Danio rerio: one gene and its partners. The protein of the gene in region 2 interacts with the protein of the main gene of each other region in a pairwise test. Links are inferred from orthologs where the notes say so. Each region holds a gene or a part of one and is shown on either strand. Other genes may lie near its edges.

Region 1 (4,449 bases), on a different chromosome or scaffold from region 2:
TTTAACCCCATTTAAAGGCCAAAATTATTAGCCCCTTCAAGCTATTTTTGTTTTCTATAGTCTCTAGAACAAACCATCACTATACAATAATTCACCTAATTACCATAACCTGCCTAGTTGACCTAATTAACCTAATTAAGCCTTTAAATGTCACTTTAAGCTGTATAGAAGTGTCCTGAAAAATATCTTCTCAAATATTATTTACTGCTTTCATGGCAAAGATAAAATAAATCAGTTACTAGAAATGAGTTATTAAAACTATTATGTTTAGATATGTGCTGATAAACTCTTCTCTCTGTTAAACAGAAATTGGGAGAAAAAATAAACAGGGGGGCTGATAATTCAGGGGGGATAATAATTCTGACTTCAACTGTATATCGTTATTGTTTAGTATGGAGTATAATAATCAAAACTGCATTTTTGCCATATTGTTGAGCCCTAGTTTGTGTTTAATACTTTGATCAATAAATGGTTTTCATAAAGGAAAAGGTTTTTATTTTTATGCTTTTTATGCTTTGATAAGGCTAGCTGGGTAAAAAAGAGAAAAAAACTAGAATTTACCTGCTTTTATTATATTTATGCTATAACTTTGCAGCATATATAGTTATTATAATGAGAGATTATTAATTTAGTAAAAGAATTTAATTTAATTTTTGTAAAGGAGAAAGCGTCCCCAATTGTAATCCAATGTTGGGTCAAATATGGTCAAATCGAACAATTTGTTTAACTCAACGGTTGTACAAGAACCCAACATTTATTTTATGCTGTATGTTTTTTTTTTAATTGCTTGAACTGACTATAACAGAACATCAGAAAAAAGTCCAAGGGATTATAGATCTTAGAAAAGGTCAATAATATACAGCCATAAGAGAAAAATATATATAATCACAAATAACATTAGACAGAAAGGGAAAAAATTAAATATAATAATTACAGCAATACTACTACTACTACTACTACTACTACTACTACTAATAATAATAATAAAATTAATAATAATAATAATAATAATAATAATAATAATAATAATAATAATAATAATAATAAAAAAACATACACAAAATAGTAAATCAAACAAAAATAAACAAATGAATGAAATTACAATGACACTTAAAAAAATAACCATAAGGAAAGCAGCTAAAATCAAGGATCTTCTTTAAATAAATCTGTATAATATTTCAGGAATCTTAGTTTTTTTATTATTTTTTATTCTTAATAAGATGAAGTGATTTTAGGAGGGAGTTAAATTCTATTATAAAAATGAGCAAAGGATAGGTAATTATTTGCAAATTTTTCTTTTAAAAATGTTTTGGGTTATTATAATAAAAAAATTATGTATTTTGGACTAAAGCATTTCACAGCATTGGCAAATATGAGAAATTAGGAGTGACCAAAACTGCTTGTAAATTGGACAATCAAAAAAAATAACCTATATGCTAATGTCTCCTCTGCTTGTTTGCAGATAGAACAGGAGCTGTCAAGAATTTTATGGTGTATGAATTCGAACTAAAACTAATAACTAATCAAACTGACCAATCAGTGACAGCTTCTGATATCTAAGCCACTCCCATTTATTCCATCAGTTTCATGTTCGCCGTCATTCTACTCGCTCGTTCTGTTTCTGTGCCTCATGCACGCGCCTCTGCCTCCTCAGCATCAGCATCATCAGATGCGCGCAGATCACGCCAAACAGCGCACTGGTTTACCAGCAGGTGTGTGTGAGCGAAACACAAGATAATCGATATCTATACATCGCCACCTATGTGTGTTCTTGATATCTGACTCGCATTTCTTCGGATCAGCGATTGGACCGTTTTGATGGTTTGATTCCCAGCGGGCGTTATCAGTCAGCGTGGCCGCGAAAAGAAGACGGAATCAAGCGAGATCATATTTAATATCCGCCTCTCCAGCGTCTGTGGATGGGCTGCGGACATCTGCATCTGCAGTCTCTGTTTTTGAGTCACTAAGAAGATGGCGGACAGGGCAGAGATGTTTTCTCTCTCCACCTTCCACTCCCTCTCTCCTCCGGGATGCAGGTAAGACGCGCAAATGCTTCTCTGGGGCGCGCGCGGGGTTTCCGCTGCTTCTGCCGTATATTTATTCATATAATCGGCTCTTATGTGATCGTTAACGTAGCGCTAATGTCCTCAAGCACATTCAGAAATTAGCATCAGCATCATCAGCATCCGCAAGCAGTGATCCTTAGCATCCTCTGTTTGTTGATGTGCATAAACAATAACGCCCTTGTTGTTGTTTTTTTAATCATCATTATTATAGTTGTCGTTTGTGGCACGGATGCGTTGTGTATATGTGTAAATGACGCGCTTGTGACATGAAACTAAGCGAAGGACAAGCGATTGATTTTTGTTCCTTTTTTTTTCTGCCTGGCATGTCATTGCCTGACGCATCCTCTCTCTGAGATAGTTGGCATATACTGGAAAGACCCACGCCCTGTTGTGATGCTCATAACTGCATTTTAATCCGTGATCACATATTTTAATGTTCTTATAATTATGTAATTATACAGGGCTGAGTAACACTATTGAACAGTCCTCAAATTGTGATGCGGAGCTGCTTGTAATTGCACATTGTTATCGGTATAACTGTAATAATTGTGCTGGGGAAAAGGGTATTTATTTACATGTTAGTTGTGATCATGTTTTGTATCATAATTTACTTCCATCTACAAAAAAGTTTAATGGGATGTTTTGTAGCACTTTTAATCTGCTAATAGGGTAAAATACATGTGTAACTTGACTACGTTGTCAAAAAAAAGAAGCATAACATGTATAATGTCCTACGACTGGATCTTGTTAAATCAAGCTGGTTTGTGGATTTGCTGTATACAACATGTATACAACATATGCCAGAGTAGTTGGCGGTTCATTCCGCGGTGTTATTTCCTGATAAATCAAAGCGAAGGAAAATGAACGAATGTTTAATTAAAATTACAGAAGTTTTCCAACTTTAAAGCACAATGCATAATTCAAAATATTGGAAAACACATGCAAATAATAATATTCAACTATTCATTAATATAGTTCCTTTATTAATCCGGGGTCGCCACAGCGGAATGAACCGCCAACTTATCCAGCACGTTTTTACGCTGCGGAGGCCCTTCCAGCCGCAACCCATCTCTGGGAAACATTCATACACTCTAATTTACACTGATACACTACAGACAATTTAGCCTACCCACTTCGCCTGTACCGCATGTCTTTGGACTGTGAGGGAAACCGGAGCACCCGGAGGAAACCCACGCAAATGCAGGGAGAACATGCAAACTCCACATAGAAATGCCAACTGACTCAGCTGATGCTCGAACCAGCAACCTTCTTGCTGTGAGACAACATCACTACCTACTGCACCACTGCGTGGCCTAATATTAATATTCCTAAATGTATTTTTGATTGCATAGAGTGCATGGTGGGTATTTCTTGGCACCTGATTGTATTTCTTATATAAAATACATAAATGTATATGCACCTATAAACTTGTCAGTGCTGCCTTGTGGCTTTTCAGTGGCAAGACTATATTATGGATAGTCTCATGACATTCCTCAATAGTGAGGTAATAAGCTCTTCTCGAAGCAAATGCTGTTTTGGACTGTTTTACTCACAGGGCCGTTTATATCGAAGTTGATATCTAGCTGTATCATGTTGTTTCATTCATTTATTAATTTTCTTTTCGGCTTACTTCATATATTAATCAAGGGTTGCCACCGCAGAATGAACCGCCAACTTATTCAATTTAATTTATCTTTATTTGTATAGCGCTTTTACAATGTAGATTGTGTCAAAGCAGCTTCACATAGAAGATTATAGTGAATTGAAACCGTGTCAGTTCAGTTTTCAGAGTTTAAGTTCAGTTCAGTTTAGTTCAGTTCAGTGTGGTTTAATATTCACTGCTGAGAGTCCAAACACTGAAGAGCAAATCCATCAATGCGCACCTCTACAAATCCCGAATCATGCAAGCCAGTGGCGACTTATTTAGCATATGTTTTACGGAGCGGATGCCCTTCCAGCCACAACCCAACACTGGGAAACATCCATACACTCTTGCATTCACACACATACACTGCGGCCGATTTAGCTTATTCAACATCTAACTTTTACAAGGTGTGTTGTTAGCCCAACGCTCAACCCCTAACCTGGAGGACCAGGACATACACTATGGACATTTTAGCTTACCTAATTCACCTATAGCACATGTCTTTGGACTGTAGGGGAATCCGGAGCACCCAGAAGAAACCCAGGCCAACACGGGGAGAACACGCAAACTCCACAAAGAAATGTCAACTCGAACCAGCAACCTTCTTGCTGTGAGGCGACAGTGCTACCCACTGTGCCGCCACATGTTTTATACACTGTATCAGTGGTTTAAGCAGCTATTACTAGCTCTAAAATTACATTTTGGAATTAGAAACAAAGATTTAAGATAAGGGGGCAG
Region 2 (3,657 bases):
ACTATAACCAGGGTTATTCCCCTTGTTGTAAGGGAGAGAGATACTGTAGGAGTAACCCCCACCACCCCAACCCCCCAATCGGAGTGGTAGAGGGATGCCAAATTCGAGAGAAAATGGAGATATGCTGGATTATTTATGCAGATTGGATAGTGGAATAATTGTCAATGATGAATTATCCTCGTCAAAACATCTGCTCATTCTTCTCCCAAAATTTGATCATCAAACATCACACTTGAATATATTTAACTGAAAAATACAGAGATGTGAATCCATTTACCTGGAATTGAATCACGGGATTCAAACAAAAGATTTGCAAAATTATGAAGCTTTACAAAGCAATGTTTCAAAATCACATATTACTAAAGATTAATGTGGTTTGTATTAGTGGTTTGTATCTAAATCAATAAATTATAATTATTATCAATAAATGCATTTCTATCCAGTCCCACCTCATTTTTGTGACACAGTTTTAAATCATATCAGGATATTTTGACTCCTTTAATGAACATTCATTTTCCTGAAAAATAATCTCAGTGTAACATCAGCAGCTTTGGTCGAATATGTTAAAAAAAATATGGAACCCACCACAGTTTTGCTCATCACTATTGTCTCCACAGTCATCCCAGTGATCACAGACAAAGGGCATTGGGATGCAGAATCCATTAGCACATTCAAATTGATGTGACTGACAATGCCTTGCTGTTTCAGAGATGAAGGACAAAAACATATATGAAAGGAAATGACAGCAACGTAAAATCCTAAATATACATCTTAACTCTATTCACTGGCATCTCTAATTAATAACTATTACAACTCACTGCAGTTGGATTCATCTGATCCATCTCGACAATCTAGTATCCCATTACAGTGTTGAGCATTGTTGTAACAAGCGCCATTAGCACATGTCTTCTCTGTGCAGGCTGGGTAATCTGGAATAAATGAGAAGAAATTTGATGCATTTTATTGCAATTACAAAATCTGAATATGAATGAATTTTACGTCACCCAACAGTGTTCTCGTGTCATTTTGGTAGCTGATTTATCTTGAGATTTTTATGTGTACTGGACCATGGCTAGTAGTCATATGCTTTTTTCTTGTAAAGATAACGTTACTTTACTTTAACCATTAAGGTAAAGGTTACTTTACAGTATTTTAACCTTTGTGACAGACATGTTGCAATTTAGTTTAGGTGTAAAAGATTCGAATTTACTTTTGACTATAAAAGTAATATAAAATGATAATAATGCAGTAATCTTTTATGTTCTGATATTCTGGTCATGTTTTTTAACTACACATTTACAGTCTGTATTGTTACTGAGAAATGGTAAACAGCAAATTGCTAAAAGTAATAAATATTTGTATTTATTTTTTTATGTATTACAGGTCTAGACTGAAATAAATAGTTATTATAGAGTTTTGTTATAGAGATGAGAGCTAAATTACCAGTTTTTCTGTGAATTTTTAATTCATTTTGCTATTTAACCTTTTGTCGTGCTTGAGTCAAATCTTATTTTATGCTTAAAACACTCAGAAATATTGTCTTTTACATCTGATTGCCTCAAGGCCTTATGATATCCTCCATGCTATGCACTTGAAGTGCAGATCATCTCTTTCATTCAATTTGAAGTGTTTTAATCAATTGTTACACCAGTGGTGTTCCCGATCAAAATTGACCGTAACAGAAAATAAATGGGTGTCCAGACTATATTCATCCATCAGAGAGAAAGCATTCCTATACACACCACCCCAACTCACTCACTCACCTACACACACATTTCAGACTGAACAGTAAGTGATTTGCCTTGAGAAAGCAATGGATCCTCAAACGCAAATCATTTTTCTAATAAAGCAATTGTAATGTAAACCCATCTGTGTGTTCTTTTCTTTCTTTCTTTCTTTCTTTCTTTCTTTCTTTCTTTCTTTCTTTCTTTCTTTCTTTCTTTCTTTCTTTCTTTCTTTCTTTCTTTGTTTCTTTCTTTCTTTCTTTCTTTGTTCACCCTATCTCTGGGTGTAGCAGGAGCACTTTTAGCTAAGCTTAGCATCCATTATTTTATTGGATTAGACCATTAGAATCTCGCTCAAAAATGACCAAAGTACATCTAGTGCTAGTTCTGTGTCCATGCTCACTGTCTATACCCTCAGTCACTAATCCCTATATTAGTGCACTAATGTTGTCCTATTGAAGGACTGAATAAAATTTTGAGGACTCAATACACAGGAAAGTATGCCGCTTTCTTTGTGCTTTGCTGCTTGGTAAATCATACAGATTAATTAAAATTTAAATTTCTTTGGTCAAACGCTGCTAGTTTCTTAGTTAGCTGTCTATTAGTAATGAAACAAAGTATTTTAGTTTCTGTCATTGATTGTTTATTTTGTAATACATTCATTCATTTTCTTGTCGGCTTAGTCTCTTAATTAATCCAGGGTCACCACAGTGCAATGAACCGCCAACTTATCCAGCACGTTTTTACGCAGCAGATGCCCTTACCGGCCGCAACCCATCTCTGGGAAATTTTGTAATACATTCAGTGCTTAATTGTATTTTCACTGCAGTTATTTTATATCTAAATTTTTCAATTAATGTTAAACACTACTTTGAGACATTGTTCACAGGTCAAGAATGTTAAATAAAAATTAAGTGGTGAAAAATGTTTTTTTTGTGCTAATATAAAAGCAGTTAAAACAGACTGCTCAATTTTGACCTGGAACACTAAAGTAAGCGCCGGGATGTGAACACGACATGAGGTTAATGGAGCAAACATAGTTTTCAACACATTTTTAAACATAGTTAAATAATTTTTTAATAGCTAATTACTTTTGTCTTTGCTCTGATGACAGTATACATAATATATTACAAGTAAATTATCAAGATACAAGCATTTAGCTTAAGGGTACAACAAGGTGTAAATTAGGCAAGTTAGATTAAGTCATTCAACAACCAGAGCCTGTTCTGTGGCCAATGGGGGAAAATCTGTAAAATACTGTGAAAATGTGCTTGCTCAGTTAAACAACACCTAATTTAAATGTTTGAAAGTAATTAAAAATTCACAAAGCACATATCTACTAAAGACCCCTATAAGTCATGAGTTTCATTACAGTCATAAAATTAAATAATTACAAAATATGTTAGACTTGCCTGATTTGATAATTACTACATTCTGTTGTTTAAAATCCACATTGCTACAGAGGAATAGTAAATGGGAAGAAAGGTTCTTACTGCAGTTGTTCTCATCAGAGTTATCCACACAGTCTGGCACATGGTCACAGTTGTATTGTTTGGGAATACACTGCCCTTCTCTACATGTGAACTGGTCTGGACTACACGTCTGACCACCTTAAAAAATAAAAAAGGTGGGGTCATAGACTGTCTGTGTTATATGTGTTATATATATTATTTCTTATTTTTAACGGAATTAACCAAATTTTAATTATGTAGACATACTACAGGTCCTTTGCTCATCAGAGCCATCAGCGCAGTCTGCTTCTCCATCACATACAAACTCAAGAGGAATGCACTCTCCTCCTGTCAGACACTTGAACTCCTGAGAGCTACAGGTGGGTAATGCTAAAAGAACGAGGTAAATAATTATAATAATAAATGTATTTGCATTAAACAAATGCTTTGACATCACATCATCACATTATGGGTCAGTGTTC
Region 3 (3,657 bases), on a different chromosome or scaffold from region 2:
GACCCAGCGACCTTCTTGCTGTGAGGCGACAGCACTACCTACTGCGCCACTGCCTCGCCCCTTTTCATAACATGTTTATCGATAATGATGCTTACTATTGAATTTGGTAGAAAACAACAGATTTAACATAAATATTTGTATTATTTCTGAAAGGGTTTAGAATGCAGTGCTTCCCACACATAAACTTTACTTAGGCAGGCCACCCAGGTATATTAACAGCTCCCAAAGTATATTTATTGACACACATTTTTGAAAATCTCCTAAAATTTCCGGGATTTCTTTTGGTTCCGCTTTCTAAAGCTGTCATCAATTGTTTGTGCACAACCGTGAGAGAGACATTAAATAATTAATTCTTTAATCTTAATGTCTCAGTCGGAGAGGACGAAATTAGATGTAAATTGGCTGCAAAACATTTGTACACTATTAAAAATGGCTAATCAACTTGAAATAATCTACACGTTTATTCTTGTAATTGTTATCATTTTTAGAGATATTGTCTGTTTTTATTTCTTTTTTTCTGTAATTTATTTCTTATTTGCTGTATATTTTATTAATTTGATGATGTTAATATAGTGAATATTTTATAGATCTAATATGCTTTGGCAATACTGAACAAAATGCTCCCGACTAGCATAAAAGTTGCATGAAATTGTGGATTTCCTTAAAAACTTTAACCTATTAAAAGAAACAGTGTATAACAGTTCCTTAATAAATAAAATATTGTTAAATGTAGTTATGTTTTGTTTGTCGCATATAGTATATACTAATTTATGTGACGTGGGTAAAAAGTGTATTTCAATCCGGCTACCACTGCAAGTATATTTCAAACATGTGGGAAGCAATGTTCAGTTTAAAATATCCCATCTTAATTGAATTAAATTTAAACTTAATTAAATTTCTAGAAACGCATATTTGAAGAATCACACATTCACTACCTGACAAAAGTATTGTGCCTATCCAAATTTAAGAACAAGACATAATAACTTGACTTCTAGTTGATCATTTGGTCTCAGAAGTGGCTTATATGAAAGACAATGTCTCTAGATTACGCTTATTTTACCAAAATAAAATATGATCATGCCTCGATTTTTAATTATTTAAATAGAACAGTAAAGTCTGACTTTGCTTAGACAAAAGTCTTGTCACTTAACAGAAATAATGTACAATATAGAATATAATGTCATGCTGCAGTGGAAAAAGAATTAATATTGTGTCTGACTCCCATGAGCTTGAAGGACTGCATCCATACATCTCTGCAATCACTCAAATAACTTATTAATAAAGTCATCTAGAATGGCAAAGAAAGTGTTCTTGCAGGACTCCCAGAGTTCAAGATTAATTTCTAATGCCTCCTCCTTTATCTTACCCCAAACATGCTCAATAACGTTCATCTCTGGTGACTTGCCTGGCCAATCTGGAGCACCTTGACCTTTTTTGCTTTATGGGTATGAGAAGTATGAGAAGGAGCTCTATCCTGCTGAATAATTTGCCCTATCCTGTGGTTTGTAAAGTAACAGGCAGCACAAATGTCTTGACACCTCAGGCTGTTATTGTTGCAACCCATATATATATTGAATATTTATTACATCAGAAAGAATTTGAGTCATCTACAAACCCTTCCAGAAGTGCGGCAGTCGTCCTGAACAACGATTTTCAATCCTCTTGTGTTGATTTCCACTATGCAAGGCGAAGGAGGGCTAAACTGCATTGTTGTTCGTCTGTTTGATGCTATCTGTTGACATAATCAGATCGCAAGCGAACATCAGATTACATATGAACAACATGCACCACTGCAATCATTATGTAAATATATGAACATCCAAGCCAGAGTCATAACACAGAATTGGATTAGTACCTTGTGCATTGCGGCACAAAGCACATCGTTCCCTTTGTGATACGGCACTTGAACAGAACCAAGAAATTTCACCCAGAATTTGTCCATCCAGTCACCTTTGACCTCTAATGAATCACAGCAGACAAAAGAAGTAATCATTACTAAATGCACAAAATCTCAAATTCTTGTAAGTCAGGGTTTCTGCAGGTTTCTTCAAGTCAAATGTAAGACTTTTTAAGACCGTTACGAATTATATTTTAGACTTATACAGGGTTAAACACCTAGGATTTTTTCGAATGGCCTGCTTACTTCTGTAAATAGTTTTTGTATTAATGGAAGATCATGTAAAGGGATGTGTTGCTTTTGTTTTCTTCTCAGATTAGGAAGTTTAATTTGCTGTATGATGTCTAACAGCAGTTGTGAATTGTATCTCTTTGTAATAATAAATTTAAATATATACATAAAACGTTTTAAGATGGATTATTGGTGATTGTTTGTCAGCCCGATAGGGTAGCTTTACTTGGACATAGGAAAATCAAGGCCTGTTTACAATGATTAAAGACCTACTACTTAATATTCAGTAAATTTAAAGGTGCTGTAAGCAAATTTTTGATGCTTCTTAAGCATAAAAATACCATAATATGTTTGCAAATATTTAAGGAACATACATGCCTATTAACTAGCATATAATATAAATATAACAAACATAAACATTAGGTGAGCAGGTTACATTGTAACCCGTGCCTTAACAACAAGCTACGTGTTGAGATTTGCAATGATTTAGCAATGTGGCTGTTTGCACCGGATAAAACACAACTGAAATTTAAATACAGCCATTCAGAAGCAAAGAATAGTGCACTCACTGCACTCCAATAAAATTGTAAGGTTTATAATCTAATTAATACATATTAAACCTCTTTAACACTACTAATGTACATGCTGAATCACTAATACAAGTTGGCTTTCACTAAGTCACACTTCAAAAGTTCAATTTAAAACTGTTTATTTTGTTTTCAGGATCTGAGATCTGCTGCTGCTTTCAGTAGTATGGCAATAAATGTCACATATAATGCCACTTAAACTCATATTGTTAGCATTTAACACCAAATAAAGCACATGATGTGTACCTGAGGTGATTATTGTCAGTTTTCAGTTGTTCAGCTGCAAGAAAATAAAGCCATATCTAAAATATAGATTTCGGGTGTTGGCTAGAACAAAATCTTTTTTTAATATGCAATATTCTTTCTATCACGTGTTTTTTTTAGAACATGGGTTAAATCAGCCTTAAATGAGCCATTGGGCTCTATATTCAGGCACACTCCTGTTGGTGTCGTGAATCTGGTAACCTGCGCTTGTGTGTGCTTTCCCGAGTGCAATACCCAGATCAACCACTGGGTGTCAAACGTGCATACTGCATCTTTAAGACTATTGAAATTTAAGACATTTTAAGACTTTTAGACACCCTGTAAATGCTACAGTAAAAGCAAGATTTACCTTTAACAAGTTCATCCTTTGCCACCTTGACGGCATAGAAAGCAGGGAAGATGCCTCTGGTTCCGGTGCGCATGTTATAGGCCTCGCACCACAGATCCTCAGCCTGCAACTCCACTAGTAATGGGTCGTCCGCTTCTAACTCCAACTCATCATCATGACGAGGAACAAATCTGCAATCAAGCAAACGATTGATAATCGTATTATTGAAAATATTAAGTTAATCCCGAAACTTTCTTGGTCATGATATTTCAATATCCCTTTTATGTAACATGGCTACTTTATTTCTATTTTTTCAAAACAAAGCACTAAGGATTTGTTTGAACGCTTAC

The links.
Region 1: the proteins of lrp2b (region 2) and mapk8ip2 interact in a two-hybrid assay, tested with the Homo sapiens proteins (2 studies listed by BioGRID). The link is inferred for Danio rerio from reciprocal best matches to the Homo sapiens genes LRP2 and MAPK8IP2.
Region 3: the proteins of lrp2b (region 2) and mapk8ip1a interact in a two-hybrid assay, tested with the Homo sapiens proteins (2 studies listed by BioGRID). The link is inferred for Danio rerio from reciprocal best matches to the Homo sapiens genes LRP2 and MAPK8IP1.

The regions. Positions count from the first base shown.
Region 1 is NC_133193.1:9,483,979-9,488,427, reverse strand, and holds the start of mapk8ip2 (C-Jun-amino-terminal kinase-interacting protein 2), read left to right. Parts: upstream 1-1,630; 5' UTR 1,631-1,971; coding exon 1,972-2,036; intron 2,037-4,449. UniProt on the Homo sapiens protein: The JNK-interacting protein (JIP) group of scaffold proteins selectively mediates JNK signaling by aggregating specific components of the MAPK cascade to form a functional JNK signaling module.
Region 2 is NC_133187.1:17,725,062-17,728,718, reverse strand, and holds part of lrp2b (low-density lipoprotein receptor-related protein 2), read right to left. Parts: intron 3,566-3,657; coding exon 3,443-3,565; intron 3,335-3,442; coding exon 3,218-3,334; intron 930-3,217; coding exon 819-929; intron 700-818; coding exon 586-699; intron 1-585. UniProt on the Homo sapiens protein: Multiligand endocytic receptor. Acts together with CUBN to mediate endocytosis of high-density lipoproteins. Mediates receptor-mediated uptake of polybasic drugs such as aprotinin, aminoglycosides and polymyxin B.
Region 3 is NC_133200.1:14,745,872-14,749,528, forward strand, and holds part of mapk8ip1a (C-Jun-amino-terminal kinase-interacting protein 1a), read right to left. Parts: intron 3,499-3,657; coding exon 3,329-3,498; intron 2,315-3,328; exon of another isoform or gene 1,960-2,314; coding exon 1,856-1,959; exon of another isoform or gene 1,733-1,855; coding exon 1,616-1,732; exon of another isoform or gene 1-1,615. UniProt on the Homo sapiens protein: The JNK-interacting protein (JIP) group of scaffold proteins selectively mediates JNK signaling by aggregating specific components of the MAPK cascade to form a functional JNK signaling module. Required for JNK activation in response to excitotoxic stress.